2 linked regions of the Pelodiscus sinensis genome follow. The protein of the gene in region 2 interacts with the protein of the main gene of each other region in a biochemical or structural test. Links are inferred from orthologs where the notes say so. Each region holds a gene or a part of one and is shown on either strand. Other genes may lie near its edges.

Evidence for each region.
Region 1: the proteins of RELA (region 2) and TLE5 form a complex in vitro, tested with the Homo sapiens proteins (2 studies listed by BioGRID). The link is inferred for Pelodiscus sinensis from reciprocal best matches to the Homo sapiens genes RELA and TLE5.

The regions. Positions count from the first base shown.
Region 1 is NC_134729.1:15,388,691-15,396,369, forward strand, and holds the start of TLE5 (TLE family member 5), read left to right. Parts: upstream 1-4,583; 5' UTR 4,584-4,993; coding exon 4,994-5,020; intron 5,021-6,496; coding exon 6,497-6,594; intron 6,595-7,679. UniProt on the Homo sapiens protein: Transcriptional corepressor. Acts as a dominant repressor towards other family members. Inhibits NF-kappa-B-regulated gene expression. May be required for the initiation and maintenance of the differentiated state.
Region 2 is NC_134721.1:32,635,318-32,643,090, reverse strand, and holds the start of RELA (transcription factor p65), read left to right. Parts: upstream 1-4,745; 5' UTR 4,746-6,913; coding exon 6,914-6,929; intron 6,930-7,773. Other genes in the region: histone acetyltransferase KAT5, read right to left, coding at 2,977-3,043, 3,124-3,135. UniProt on the Homo sapiens protein: NF-kappa-B is a pleiotropic transcription factor present in almost all cell types and is the endpoint of a series of signal transduction events that are initiated by a vast array of stimuli related to many biological processes such as inflammation, immunity, differentiation, cell growth, tumorigenesis and apoptosis.

The DNA.
Region 1 (7,679 bases), on a different chromosome or scaffold from region 2:
TTGAAATTGCAAGGACTTCTTAAAATTATGTTATTTGCTGATTGCATTGATTTTCCTGCTGACCCATTGGTCTCTACATGATGATGGTTTGACCTGTGATCCTTAAACTGATGCAGCAAAGAAAATTGCCAAAATGAGCCACTAGTGAACTGTAAGTCAGTTTGGTATCTGTGTATCTGGAATTCCACGGTGTGTGAACAGTGTGTCTTGGGGCCCAGAACACAGCCTGAAACTCAGCAGACTGGACCTCTATTTCTGGTTCTGATGCTGGGTGATCCTGGGCAAGTCAGTGTAACGTGCTATGCCTCAGTTTCCCATCTGTAAAAAAAGGGTTAGTGATAGACATTTCTCTTGTCAAGCACTTTGCGAGCTACTTGTGTAAAGTGCTATATAAGAGCTAGGCTTATTGTTGTCTGATGGAAGACAGGATACTGGGCTAGACGGACCTTTGGTCTGTCCCCGTATGGCCATTCTTATGATGCGATGTGCAACAGCTCAGTTAAAAAAAAATAACGGAGTGGTGACACAGGGCTTCTGCAGCTGTTCTCGTGGGGTAGCTCTCAAGTTTGATGTCCTTATTCAAATCTATGCAATCCTTAACTTGCTTGGTTTGACTGTGGTGACCATGCGAGTACCCTAAGCAGTTGGAATGTGTGTTCACTCAGTCGCATCGAATTTTACTGCCTGGCCAAGTTCAGCTCTTACTTTATTGCTCAATGCTAGCTGCACTTTACAGAGAACATGACCCAAAAAAGAGCTCTATGGGAGCTCAGAAGCAGGTCTCTCTCACCTACAGAAGATGGTCCAATATATCAAGGGCATTCACAATTACAGATTGATGGTAGGGAGAGATTGCCTGATTGCCTCCACTTCCATGCCTATTTGCGCTGCTGCCATAGCACCCCTATTGTGAGATGACTGGGAACCAAATTCATGGGCTGGCAGCCCTAATCTCATCAATTCCTGTTTCAATCCCAAGACCATTTGATATGCCATGAAGGGACTCCCATCCCTGTGTTTGAAAAGGGGTGCCCTCCCCCCTTCCACCGTATTGCCACTGTATTACCTCGAACATGTATTTTGCTGTATGATGCATCAATAGAGCCCTACGCAGCTACAAAATTTGTATCTGCAAAAATGAGCCACAGATATCTGCATCCACATCTACAGATGCGGATACCTATGGATATAAAGTGGATATCTGCAGATTTGCAGGGCTCTTCGCTTCTAAGCCTCTCAAATACCTTTCGAGACACTCCCAGACCATTTCCTGCATTTTGATCAGGTTTTGCACCTATTTAAATAGATATGCATTTGCAAACTGCTCTTCAGTGCAAACCCATTGGGTCCTTCTTGTTCCAGTGTTTCAAACTCTATGGAGTGAAATCTGTCCTTATGCTGAGACACTGGGATACCGTAGATAGGTGGGCTCATTATGTGTTTACTATATGAAGCAAGCTTAGATATTTAACACTGGGTCGTCACTAGTATTTTTGTATTTGCCTACTGTGATTATGTGGCACTCAATTTCCCTCTCTGTGCTGGAATTCACTTTTTGTTCATTTATTTCCAGCATCATAAACCAAACTATTATATCAACTTGCTCTGTAAGGGATCTATCAAAGATCATCGTGAGAGCTGTCCGTCCATGAATGTATTTTGCTTTTATACAGCGTTTCAGATTGTGCTGAAAGCAATGCCCTGTGCAAAATGGTTGCCTTTATTGTGTGTATGACACCGCATCCCTTGGGCTGCACACCTTTCTGTCATCTCGTGATTGCTTCCGCATTCACTGCATCTGCTGTTTACTTGCCTTTGTGTTCTGTCTTTATGCATTTTTAATTAGTTGCACTTCAGTTCTTTCACTGCTTTTTAACACTTTGAGAAGCAGTTTTCACCAGCCTTGAAAATATCCAGTCCTTTGCAAAGTCAAATCCATTTCTCATAAACACCTTGCTTTGACCTATTTATCAGTTATGCCACAAGTAATTCTGTCTCTAATTAGTATATAGCTATTAACTGTTCAAATTTGCATGGCCTAGCTTTAATACACAGGTTTGTAACATAAGGATCAACGGTCTCATCTGGCACTAGAGAAAAATATGCTTTTCCCAACTGACTTTCTTGCATGGATCACTGTGCTCCAAGAATTTTTGAATGAAATGTTAAATGGTTTCAAAAAAGAACAAGATAAATTCATGGAGTATAGGTCCATAAATGCTTATTAGCCAGGACGGGCAGGAATGGTGTCCCTAGCCTCTGTTTGTCAGAAGCTGGGAATGGGTGACATTGGGGGGGGGGGGGGGGGGCTCACTTGATGATTCCCTGTTCATTCCCTTTGGGGCAACTGGCACTGTTGGAAGACAGGACCTTGGGCTAGATGGATCCTTGGTCTGACCCAGTCTGGCCGTTCTTGTGTTCTTATGCTGCATGTTGCAATTTGCAGCCCTCTTCATGCTCCCTACCATAGCTCACCAATATTTTAGGCTTGTCCCTCCCAGGTAAAAGTGAAGGGAACTTCACCCTCACAGATTTCTCTGCCATGTCACTTGCTTTCAGGAGAATTTGGAAGTGCTGCAGAGACCATGCAATAAAGACGTGACAGGCGGGAGTTATGGGGCAGGGTTGCAAAAGGGTATATACCCTTCACCTGACTGCAGTGACTCCAGTGACTACTGTTACAGCCCATTGGGATTCCAGGTCTGAAAATTCCTAGCCATGTTGGGTTTCAGCTCTGGAGTTACTCACAGCCAAGACATAAAGCAAGGCCCCTGAACACAACATGTTACAATAGTTCAGCTGATACAGCTCTTTCATCTCTATCAGTGGGTGCATACCTCATGCTAACACCAATTTAGGGAGTACCACACTGCTAGAGGGGGCAGGCATCTGGTCATGGGCACGATGTTAAACCATGGCCCCTGCTGTTTGCATATAGGTGGAAAATAGACTTCCTTTATCACTCCATAAGAGATTGGAATAGCCAAGAGAATCAGAGTAATGTCCAAGGCTTGCTCACTGCATAGCTGGGGGTTAAGTGACTATGTTCAGTCTGAAGGCTACAAGGAAACCATTAGGGTTTTTGGGGCTCTGGCCTAACTTTTCCAGCTCCCAAATTGCACTGCAGGAAAGGACATTTTAAAGGGGAGATGCATTCAGCACAACACAGGAGGAGGGATCCTGTGTGAGAAGAAAACAGAGAGTAATGGTAGAATGATTATGTTTGTAGGGCCTACAGCAGTGGTTTTTAGCCAGGGGTATATGTACCTGTGCGGGTACACAGAGATCATCTGGGGGGTACATCAATTCATCCAGATATTTGCTTACAGGCTACATAAAAGCACTAGTGAAGTCAATATAAAATAAAAATATCATACAATTACTTATTTATTCTGCTCCATGTACTACATACACTGAAATATAAGTACAATATTTATATGCCAGTTGATTTATTTTATATGGTAAAAAGGAGGAAGTCAGCAATTTTTCAGTAATAGTGTGGCTGTGACGCTTTTTAAATATTTTAATGTCTGATTTTGTAAGCAAGTCGTTTTTAAATTAGGCGAAACTTGGGGGAGGGGGACATGAGAGAAATCAGAGTCCTGAAATGAGTAGCCATGTTTCAGAGGGGTAGCTGTGTCAGTCTGTTTCAGCAAAAACAAGGTGGAGTCCTGTGGCACCTTAAAGACTAACAGACTTATTTGGTTATAAGCAGGGCTCGACAAACCGCGGCAAGATCTACTCGCCAGCCCCACACCGCGCATGCGCCAGACCAGCACTGTGCATGCACACAGCACCGGTGAACGGGGCAACTGGCTGAAATCTACTCGCCACAGGCAAGTAGATATGGCGATTGGTCGAGCCCTGGTCATAAGCTTTCATGGGCTGGACCCCCACTTTGTCAGATGCATGATTCATGTTATATCCCCTTCACCTGGCAGGTGTAGTAGCCACTCACTCCAGCGGCTACTATTACAGCCCACTGGAAGTTCCACGTCTGAAAAATTCAGGCTGATTTATGCATCTGACGAACGGGGCAGCGTAGCGTGCGAAGGTTGAGAGCCACCGGCTTAGAGCAGTGTTCCCTCTAATCTTTTCAATCCAGATGCAGAATAAATTTTTTATGTACACTGAGTCATGTGTGAAAGTGCACTGCCAGGAGAAAAAAAACTCTCTGTGGGTGCTCTGCCAACCAGTGGGGTGGCATTGGAGTCTCAACTGTGTGGCTGCACAAGCCTTAGCTCATAGGGAACTTGGGCCTAGACACACAAACCCTACTGTGCCTAGACCCCTATGAAGAGGATCCCTGCAGCCTTTCTGGGACTGAGTCCTGCCCACAGAGGGGCTGGAGCAGTTTTTGTACTGGGCGGGGGGCGGGGGGGGCGCCATTGACCCAAATAGCACAGAATGGAAACCCTTTCAAGCCAGGGCCGCTGCAGCATCTTTGGAAGGGGGAGGCCCGGGTGACGCGTTAGCTGTTCAGCCGGAGCGGGAGTAGCAGGAAGCACGTCCAGGGAGGGAATGCGCTGGAGGGAGGGTGTTGCTAGCTGCACCCGCCTGGGGAGGGGAGGCGTTCCCTGGCCCGGGAGAGGCGCTAAGGTCCCTGCCGGAGAGGGGAGCTGCAAGGGGGCGGGCGCTGGGGGGAGCTGCAGCCAGGCGGGGGAGCGCAGCTCGGCTTTGCTGCAGAGCCGGCTCCGGGGGAGCGGCGCGGAGCGGGGCTGCTGCAGAGCGGAGCGGAGCGGAGCGGGGCGCACGGCCGGGCTGCTGCGGGGCGGAGCGGGGCGCGCGGGGCAGCCGCAGCCGCAGCAGCAGGTGGTGCTGATCAGCCGCAGGACGGAGCCGCAGCCGCCATTAGACAAAAGGCGAGGCGGCCGGAGCCGAGCGGAGCCGCAGCCCGGCGCGGGGACGCGGCCTAGGCTCGGGCGCTGCGCAGGGACAAAGGCGGAGCAGCGGGGCCCGGCCCAGGCAGCAGCCGGAGCAGCCCGAGCCTGACATGATGTTTCCGCAAAGCCGGCACTCGGTGAGCCGCGGGCCCGGCCCGGGGGCTGCACCGGGGCGCGCGTGGGGGGTGCGCGTGGGGGGGGGGCGCTTAGTGCGTGGGGGAAGCACGGAGCGGGGGGGCTCTGCACCCCACGGGGGGGTCGGCGCACAGGTGGGGGCTGCTCAGCGCGCTCTGGGGCAAGCGCCGGGGGCTCCTGCGGGTAAGGGGATGCGTGGGCGGGCCCGAGGCAAGGGGGGTGCGGGGGGAGTTCAAGGTTGGGCTGGAGGTGTCGGGCTCGGCGGGGCGCTGCGGGGGTGGCTCGGGGCGCCTTGGTCCAGGAAGTGCAGCGGGGCGAAGCGGCCACTGCTCTTGTGCTGGGAAGACCCTGGCAGCTGGGCCAGCCAATGCACAAGGGGCGTCTCTGCCTCGCGTGGGGTCTGGGGCGAGCTGGAAGGGACACGGGGGTGCTGGGTGGAAACCGCTTTGGGCCCTGGGGGGCCAAGTTGGTGTTTTATGAGGGTGAGGGGCGGGGTGCAGGTGCTGTCTGGGAGAGGGTGGTATGTGGGGGGCAGGAGACGGGGGAGGGGTGAGGGCACTTTTACCTGAGTAGCTCTTTTCCTTTTCTTGAAGCTGGCTGCTCTGCTTCTTCCAGTTTCTGTGAGGGGTCGGTGCACTGATGGGAATATTTATCTCCCCCCCCCCCCCCCCCCCGAGCTTACTGCCATCGGGGCTTTGAGCCCCTGATTATCCTGATGGGAAAAGAATAAATGTTTATTGTTCCTCCACTTTTTAATACCCGAGTCTAGATAGAGCCGTAGAGGAGGAGGATTGCCTTGAAACAAACAAACAAACAAACCCTAGGCTGGCAGATTGGGGTGGGTTTAAATATCCCCTGGCCCCTATCAACTCTCTCTCTAATTCTGGGGTGTTGCCTGGTGGCAGAGGTGCTGTCCTTCCTGTTGCTAAAGGAGGCAGGAGGCATTGTGAGCTCAGATCAGCTGAGTGAAAGCTTGGCTCACTGGTTGGGATGCCAGCCTGGGACTGGCGACTGCTGGATTCCATTCCTAGAGCCAGTGGCTTAGTCTGTCCGTGCCTCAGTTTCCTGTCTGTAGAATTGAGGTAATAGCCCTGCCCTCCCTCACAGGGGTGCTGTGAGGCGAAACGCATTAAAGGAGGCCTTTAGAAACTGGGACCTCTCCACCTTCCTGATTGCCGTAGCTAGCAGAGCAGCAGCAGGGCTGCATGACCGTGGGCCCCTTTTGGGGCCTGTGTTCCCCATCTGAGGGGGCGGAGGCGGGGAGAAATAGTTCTCCTGGAGGTGGGGCTTTAATTCCAGGTCCTTGGTGCAAGAGTGCTAGGGAAGGAGGCTGATGCTGCAGTCATTGCTTGGGGGTTGGGGGTGCTGCCCAGTGCTGACCCTCATCTGTGGGGACAGCTGTGCTGGAGGGGGAAGGCTTGTCTGGGCATCGCTTTCCCTCCTGCCATATTGCCCGGCGCTCTCTTCTGTGTCCAAAGGGTTCGTCTCATCTGCCGCAGCAGCTGAAGTTCACGACCTCTGATTCCTGTGACCGGATTAAAGATGAATTCCAGCTCCTGCAAGCTCAGTACCACAGGTGAGCCTAGTGCACTGCGGTGCAACTAGCCGCAGCCTGCGGCTCTCCATGTCTACGGCCCACGGGGAGCTGGCGGGGATGCTATTCAGGGCCCATGCCAAAGTGAGTGTTGTCTTGGTGACGTCCCTCCTCCCAGCCTGCCGTAAGGGATGCTCTTCTCATCGGCTGCGTGCTGTCACTGCGATGCTCTCAGTAGCTAGCCAGAGATGGTGGCAGTAAACGATGCTTTCACAGGTGGGTCCCAGGGGCCTGTCACTTGCTCGCTTCTGCCATGAAGTTTTCAGGATTTTTTTGTTAAGGGCTCCTGGGGAGGGGACGGGATATTCAGAGGTTGACTTGCTAGATAGAGACATGGTGATAGACAGGAAGGAGGACCGGCGCAGTTTCTTGCAGCCTTATGTACTGCTGCAGTTGTCAGAGGATGACTCGTGTAGGAAACCGAACTGACCCTCACAGCTGATCCCCCAAGGAAACAGACCCGAGCAATGTGCTTTGGAGGAAGATTCCTTCACAGCAGCCAGATTTGAAATGCGATGGAGAGCATGATTGCCTTGGCTAAAATGGCACCTAGTTGTGGGGGGAGGGGTGGGGGATGAGTCCTGCTGTGTTATAACCCTGACGATCATGAAAGCTGAAGGCTTTAAATTCCCCCCCTGAGCAGCAGTACTCCTGGTTTACCCTTTGCTCAGCTAGGACAATGAGGACTAGCCGATTGCACTGTGGCTGGGAGTTTGTAGTCTGTGCTGTGTTCTGTCTTGCCCACGTGAACCCATTGCAAACACTGCTGGGAAATGCTGAAATCTCAATGTGCATGTTTTCCAATAAACCTTTCTAGTGATCTTAAGATTTGGCTTTTATTGGAACAGAGCTTAAATCAACCTGAGGGTATCCTCTTTAATTATCTAATACACCATTGAGATCTCTTCATTTTGTGTCCTTATGCATATGACTTTGTGGCTGCTCGCTTGTTCTGCTCTGACTTTCCCATGTGCCTTGCGTCCCAGGCGGGGCTTCAGATGGAAAATAGGAGTGCAGGTTCATGCCAACAGGATTACAATGGAATCTGTGGCAGCCAGAAGTCACTA
Region 2 (7,773 bases):
AAACATCCTGGTTCTGATTCTGTGTTCTACAACATGCTAGAGGGACGCCATGGAATGTCCTGGGCATTTGCAGGATTGGAGCAATCTCCCAATATTTATATTCCTTTTAAAACACTTTTAGAAGGATTTTTCTTCCTAACCTCACGTTGATGCCTATAACGGGTTTTTTTTCCAGCAACGAAAAATTGTACTGTGGAAAGTTAAAAGTGAAACGGCACTGAACTATCAAATGCACACAATGAGCAATCTGGTGAGAAAAGAAAAATATGTACATTAGTTTGATTCATTTCTTTCAGTTCTAGTCATCTGGAGCATTACTTTTAACTATTGGAAGTCCAAAAGAACAAGGTCACACAGCTAAGAGTGCAGGTCAACTGTTTAAGATGTTTACTGTACTGTGGAAAGCAGCAACTCTGAAAATGACATGAGGTCATGGTAGATAAACAGTTGAATATGACCTTCCAATGTGACACTGTAGCTAAAAGGGTGAATGCACATTAGATGGATAAACAGGGGTATTTCAGGCAGAAGCTAGGATGGGCTATGTACAAAAGTAACAGCATTACTGGATATTGTGTCCTGTTTGGATGGCCACACTTCTAAAAACAAGCTGACAAGATGGAAAGAGATATAAGAATGATTCAAGTGTTTGGAAGACTCGCCTGACAACGTGTGCTCTGTGTGACAGGAGGAGGTTAAAAGATGGCTGGACGACGCTACATGGGAAAAAGATTCTTGACAACAGAGGGGTTGTTAATGCAGCAGATAAAGCTAGAAGTTGATCCAACTGCTGGATATTCAGGCTAGAAATGACTTGGAAATGCATCTTTAAATCAAGATTAGACATCTCTTTCTAAAAGCTTCACTCTAGCTCAACTCCCAGATCTGTGCTCAATGCAGGAATGTCGGAGATGGAGTCTCAGGCTTAGGTAATGCTGGTGATCAGACTGGATGGTCAATCCTTTTTGGCCTTGGTCTCTATAAACTCTGCATTCTGGTTTGATCTCCCAGGTGAACAAGAATTTAGCAGAATTAGATGGGGGGGGGGGGTCCACGATTCAGAGACGGCACCAGGGTGGGGATGGGGGAAGAGGAACTCTCCTAGAAAAATAAGTTATTGGGATTGTCTGGTTTACAGAGCAGATGAAGAAATGACACATGATAAAAGTATATAGAAAAATGACAGGGATAGAGAATGGGGATGGGCACATCATTTCCATGTCTTGTAGCATAACTGCAATGAAAATTTCAAGAACACTTCAAAACCAATCAAACAACATTCTTTTTCATGTAATACACCACCAGCCTCTGGAACTCACTGGCACTTGACACAGTTAAGTGCAGGATCTCAAAGGAGACTGGAAGCTCATAAGGAGGAGACCATCGAGGGTCAACCCGAAAAAAAGAACAGGAGTTTTGGAAACCTCCCATTTCAAAAGTTAAGCTATCTTCTAAGTATTGGGGGAACCCACCTCCTATCAGGTTATTCCAAAACAATGTAAAAGTTTTTACACGTTCCACTGAAACACTCAGCTGCATGTAACCCAGGTCTGATCTAGTGTGGCAATTAATTCCTATGGCTGTGGTATTGTTTAAGTGGGAACACTTTGAAGAGTATAAATTAAGAATACCCTCTACCAAATCTAGCAGGTGAAATCTCTGCAGAACTTGGGAGGGTGACAATATAGACATATGAGAGATTATTATTTCAATAAAGTGCGTATAGAAAAATACATGATGTTTGCACTAGAATGAGGCATTTTTCATACTAGAGATTTTTTCTCCAACTCTGGCAGTGTTTCAGTAGAACCAACATTTTCTGGGTCAGGAGGTCTCTCCTCTGTGCCTAGCACTGCAGAGTGAGAAAAAATCCTTGCTCACAAGAGCTCACTCCCCAAGTATATTTGAGAGATATACTGGGAGAGAAAAATGCACAAAAATGTACCTTTATATTTGTAGGTACCAAGGGCCACACTCGCAGATCAGCACATCCCTGCAACATGTGTCCACACCAAGGCCAAACTTGATCCTCAATACAGTTATATAGATACCGGAGATCATTCTGATTCTGGGGCAGTGCCCTGGGTATTATCCAGAACAGTGTTTCTCAATCGGTGGTACAAGTATCCTCAGAGGTACTCAAGAGAAGTTTGGGGGTAGATCAACAACTGAAATTTGGAGAAAACTGATTTTTTAAAAAAGTTTTACAGCACTTTATTATTTTTGTATTTTTTACACCCAAAAATTTCATCGCCAGCTAAGCTACGATTAAATTATTTAAACAAATGTGTTGCAATGGTAGAAAACATTGCATGTCTGAAAACTGTAGGTACTCAAGGTACTTATGGTTTTTTTTTTTTTTTTTTAAAGGGGCTACCTTATACAAAAAAAGGTTGAGAAACACTGATCCAGAGTCTCTCCCACCCAAAGTGTGACAGCTCTCGCCTTCAAATGCTGCCCTGGGATCCTTGACCATGACCTGAAATGGAAGGGATTATCCCACAGCTTTGGGGCACTCCCTTTAACCAGGAGATGAGTTGGCAGTTCCAAAATGACAGGCTAACATTTCCCTCCCTAGGGAACCTAAGATGCATCCCAAAAGCATGGCAAGCACTAGAGATGACCAATCATTCCTACAATCTGGGTTCAAAGCCTCTAAAAGGAAAGAGATGCCCAGCTCCACGTGCTTACTGCCCCCCTCACATTCCCTGTTTCCCCCTTTCATAAATGATGCAGCCTTATCCCTTTTTCCAACTGAGGTCCCCCATTGGCCGATTCTTCTATCCTCTGCATTGGGCCCATTTCCTCCTATACACTGGTCTCTTCATTAGCCTTCTGAGACTCCCGCCCGTCCTCCCTTTCCACACGGCCCCGTGTCCCTACGTCTCCCAAGATATCCCCCGTGCCTCTCATATACCCTCTAGCCCCTCCTCTTTAAATCCCACCCCCATCATTTAGCCCCACCCCCTCACTTACGCCATTCATCTTCGTTATCCTGGTTGCGACGCAGCACGGGCAGCCGGCAGCCCTCGGTCACCTCTCCCTGCGGGCGGGATGCAGAACAGTTAAACAGGAACCCACAGGAATCCCCCCGCCGGACCCCACCCTACACATCCCACTCACCACCTCCGCCATCTTGAATGCTCGCCGGCGAGCGGGGTCTTCTCTTCCGTTCCCCGTGCCGGGACGTTTCCGGGAACGCGTGGGGGCCCTTCCGGTCTGTTATAGCTACTTCCGGTCCACTCAGTATATGTTGCTAGCGTTCGGCCCTGCTCAGAATTACTTCCGGCAGCATGATTAACTCCTTCCGGTCCCAGCGAGGACCCGCTCCGGGGCTGTTCGTGGCGTTCGCCTGAATCGGAAAGGAATCTGAGGAGTTGGCGGGACCGCAGTTAGCGGGCGAAGCACGAATGGCGACAGCGGGAGATTGCCCCACGTACGTGCGCAGCTAGCTGGGCGCATGGGAGAAAATCATGTGACTCGGACGTGACGAGGCCTCTGGAGCGTTTAGCCTCACGAGGCCGGTTGAGGGCCCGGCAGCGTTTCGAGGGGTCCCCGAGATTCGGCTTCCCCATCGCCTTCCCTCCCTCCCAGTTTCTAAAACCGCAACCAAGTAGAGGGGGGGCCTTCAGTGGAGCCGCGTGACACGGGCCCCTGGAGCCCTGGGCCCGACAGCTGCTGGGGCCCACAGCCACCTAACTTGTAGTAGCCAGAGACTCGGAGCCAGGGCTCAGGAGTTCAAGCTTCTAACATGTCCACCTGCTTCCCAGCCCTTCCTTATTGACCTCGTATCGCTGCCGGGGCAGGCGAAAAGCACCCTTTCTGTGTCCAGGTAGGAAGCTTAAAGCAGAACTAGGACTAGAGCCCAGCTTTCTAAGTTGGTGTGGCAGCATCTGTCTCCATAGATTTCCAGTAGTTTGCTGTGGCACCACTTGCCTTGCCTCAATGACCCCAGGAATCTTTAATCTTCTTTTAGAGGGCTTTCTAGTTCTGTCTTGTAAATCACCCTCATATCAAGTTCTGACTTAAAGAGGCTGTTAATAGGTAGCCTTTTCTCTATGCTTGCCTAGGATCCCCATGTTGCAAGGTGCTGTAAAAACATAGAACCTGCCTCACAACCTATAAATCCAGAAATGACAGGTGGATACAGCCATGAACAATGAGACAATCTGGTCTGCATGCTGGGCAATGGGTTCACCACCAACAATCTACATGTCATGCTTTTTGAAGCATCCCATCAAAGGATAGTTTGAAGGAGCTCAATGAGATAGCTTTGCATGCACTTACAGGGAACTCATAAACATGAGTGATAGCATAGGAGAAAGGATGAAGAGGCTTAGTAGAAATATAATAAGTATGCAGTAGGGATGTGAGTGTGTATCCAAGTACACGATTAATCAATGAGTCTGGGCTCATTGCTTAACACTGTGTTACACGCCCCCCCCCCTGCTGCCTTTGACACATAGGCAACAGAGGGGGGGAGGAGCCAGCTTTTAAGATGGTTCCCATGTGTACCAGCTCCTGTCAAACCAACCTCCTCCCGCACTGTTGCCTCAGTGGGTGGGAGCTGGTATGTGCAGGTAGCCTAGCCTTCCCCCCCCCCCCCCCCCCGTACTGCTGCCTCCCACAGAGCGGTGGGGGATAAGGAGGAGGTGGGAGCTAGTGCTCACAGGAAGCCTCCTGCCCCCTGCATTGCTTCCTCTGATACAGAGGCAGCAGGGGCGGGGGGGGGGGGCAGTGGGAGGGAGGACAGGAGCTGCTGCTGACGACAGGGACCTGACTTAAAAACCAGCTCCTTGCCAGCACTGGCTTCCGCCTTCCTTCCCACTGCATGTAAATGTGTAGCCACTGGAAAATTCAATGGTTATAGATTTAAAATGTGTTTATTTGTGTAACATCCCTTTTAGGCAGTTAATGCTTGGCAGCATGGGCTGAAAATGAAAATGTATAGGTGCTGGAAGTCAGGGTGCTGCTGCACTCTTTGGCTTGAAGTGGTTTCCATTATGTTTGTGGCTTACAGTTTGGTTCAATGACTCTCAGCACCTTCTTGTAAAAACTGTTCCAGCAGCCCTGTAAGAGATGAGTCAGATGGGGATTGGCAATGGAGGGCCTTGAAAGGGAAGAGAAGCAGCTTAGACTGATACAGGAGAAAAGGGAGGGCCAAGGAAGGGAAGCAAAGAGAAGTATGTCATGCTCAAAGTGAGAGCCTGAAGAATGATATTTGCACCAGAAAGGAAATGAAGCACAATCTCTCCAAGGTTATGTCTACACTGGCGGGTTTTTGCGCAAGAACAGCCATCCTTCCGCAGAGCCTCCACACTGCTCGCCAGCTCTTACACAAGAAGATTTACAGTAAAGTGTGGTAAGAGAGGGCTTCTTGTGCAAGAACTATGCTCTTTTCTAACAAATGTAAGCTCTCTTGCGCAAGAGGGCAGTGCGGACGCCCAGCAGGGGTTTCTTGTGCAAGAAAGCCCTATAGCTAAAATGGCCATCAGAGCTTTCTTGAGCAAGACAGCGTCCACACTGCCATGGATGCTCTTGTGCAAAAGCACATGACAGTGTGGCCGTGTTCTTGTGCAAGAGTTCTAGCACAAGAATCCTTGTGCAAGATGTTCTTGTGCAAGAAGCTGCCAGTGTAGACATAGCCCAAGAATTTGCTGGGGGCAGAGGTAAGGTGATATGGTTGTGTCCTCTTTAAGGGAGGCAGCATGAGTTTATTAGCTAATGGTGCCTATGGTGTCCTATAAACAGGGAACAGAACAACAGTGTTGCTAAGAAATAGCCTTAATGGGCCACCTCTGGGATTTGAATCCCCAAAGGCAACTGCAGGGCCATTTATTCAACCATTTACTGCTGTGGACATTTGGCCTAAAAAACCCAATGGGGAGGCCACAGCAGCTGTAAGACACATGTTTCCTGGTTCCTTTGTGGCCTTCTCATAGCCTATAGGGCACTATAATGTCCATGCACAGCCCCATATGTAGCCTTGTATCACCCCCACTCTGGTCCCTGTATAATGCAGTAGGCCCTACCCTACTCGTAGTATGGTTTATGTCTCATGAATTGGTCCCTCTAGTCAAGGGCTCCATAATGGTCCCGTGTGTGATTCCTGAATGACCCCAGAGCACTCTTGGTTAGGTTCTTAATAGCCCCCACGTTCCCAGCTGCAACATGGCCCCGCCGCCTCTCTTGGCTTTGCAATTTGCCCTGGCTGCCTTCGTCGCTTCTGCGCCTGCGTGGAATCCCCCCCCCCGCGCTCGTTTGCATGAGGCGGGGCTTTCCCAGCAGCGGGGCGGATCACGTGCTGCGGGCATTTCCGCGTGCGGCGTAGTTTGCGAACGGATACGGCGGGTGCTGGACCCGATCCCGCCGGAGGACCCCGCGTGGACCACGCCCCTGGCCCCGCCCCTGACGCGGACCCCCGATTGGGCCCGGAGCACCGCTTCCGCCTAGGAACCCTTCGAGGGGCTGGACCCGCCCACGATTGGACTCGTCTCCCGCCCGGACAAGCTCCTCGGGACGCCCCACCAGCAGCCCTCTCCCGAGTGGGGCTGGGACACGGGGTCGGGATCCCCCTCCCGCCTAGGACCCGCACAGGAGCCACAATCCTCCCGTTCCCTCTCAGAATTCTCTCCGTTGGGGGCCTCGCCCCACAGAGGCCCCCATCCCCTTGGAGTCTAACCCCCCCCCCCCCCCGCCTGCCGTTGTACTGAGACACCCCCCCGAGCTCGCACACGTCCTTCTTGTGGACTGGGGTTTGTTTCCTGAGCCCCGCGCAGGAGCCCTCCCCAGCCTCGTATTCCCTGGATTCTTCTGGCTCCAAAGCTGGGAGCCCCCTTCCTTGACTCCCTCCAGCCAGGGAGCACCCACCGCAGTACCTCCTGTATTCCTAGCCTGGAACCTAGCCTGACTTATGGCAGAAATGGAAGGTAAGTGTATACGCTCACCCCAGCAATAGGGACTTTCCTCAAATTCAGGACCCCCATTTAACTCTGGGGTATCTCTTCTCCTTACCTTCATCTCTGGAGGGTTTGCATGAAATACTCATACAGCGAGTTACTGGGACAGTTGGATGTGTAAACGCAGTTGAGCTCATACAGATGTGAGTGTGGGGGGAGCACCCATTACTGGAGTGCTGGTTATGAATATGGGGGGCTTGAAGAGAAGCTGGGATTCCCCAGGAGTCTGGGTTTCCCCCACTTTGTCCCTTCTCCCCCCACCCCACCCATTATTTCCTCAACTGGGCCTCTGTTTTGTTTTGGAAAAGTATTGTGATGGTGGCTTGTGAAAACTGCTTCCTAGGCCTTGGTTGGCAGTGATTTCCCTGGTTGCTTTGGGGGTAAGGCAGGCACAGTGGATTTGGGATCTGAAATGTGGGAAAAGGAGAAGAGGGGGAATTGGTGTCTCTTAAGAAAGGCCAACACACTGGGAAAAACACAGGTGGCAGGATCCTTCAGACTGGAGGAAGGGCTGGGCTTGAGCTGACTGGACATTACACCATGGAAATGGCATCTCTGACTTGATGTTTTGGGCCTGTAACCATTAACACCTAGTTCTTATGTAGTGTGGCACTTTCCATATTATCCCATAACCCAGAGCTCTTCTGTCCCGCCACATCTGGGGCGGAAATACAGACACACAGTAAATTACTAAAACCGGAAGTGGTTTGTTTGTTATGTGTTTTAGACTTGAGGAACTCAATTTGTTTAGCCTAACAAAGAGAAGGGGTGATTTGATCAGACTATGGATAATTACCAGAGGAACAGACACTTG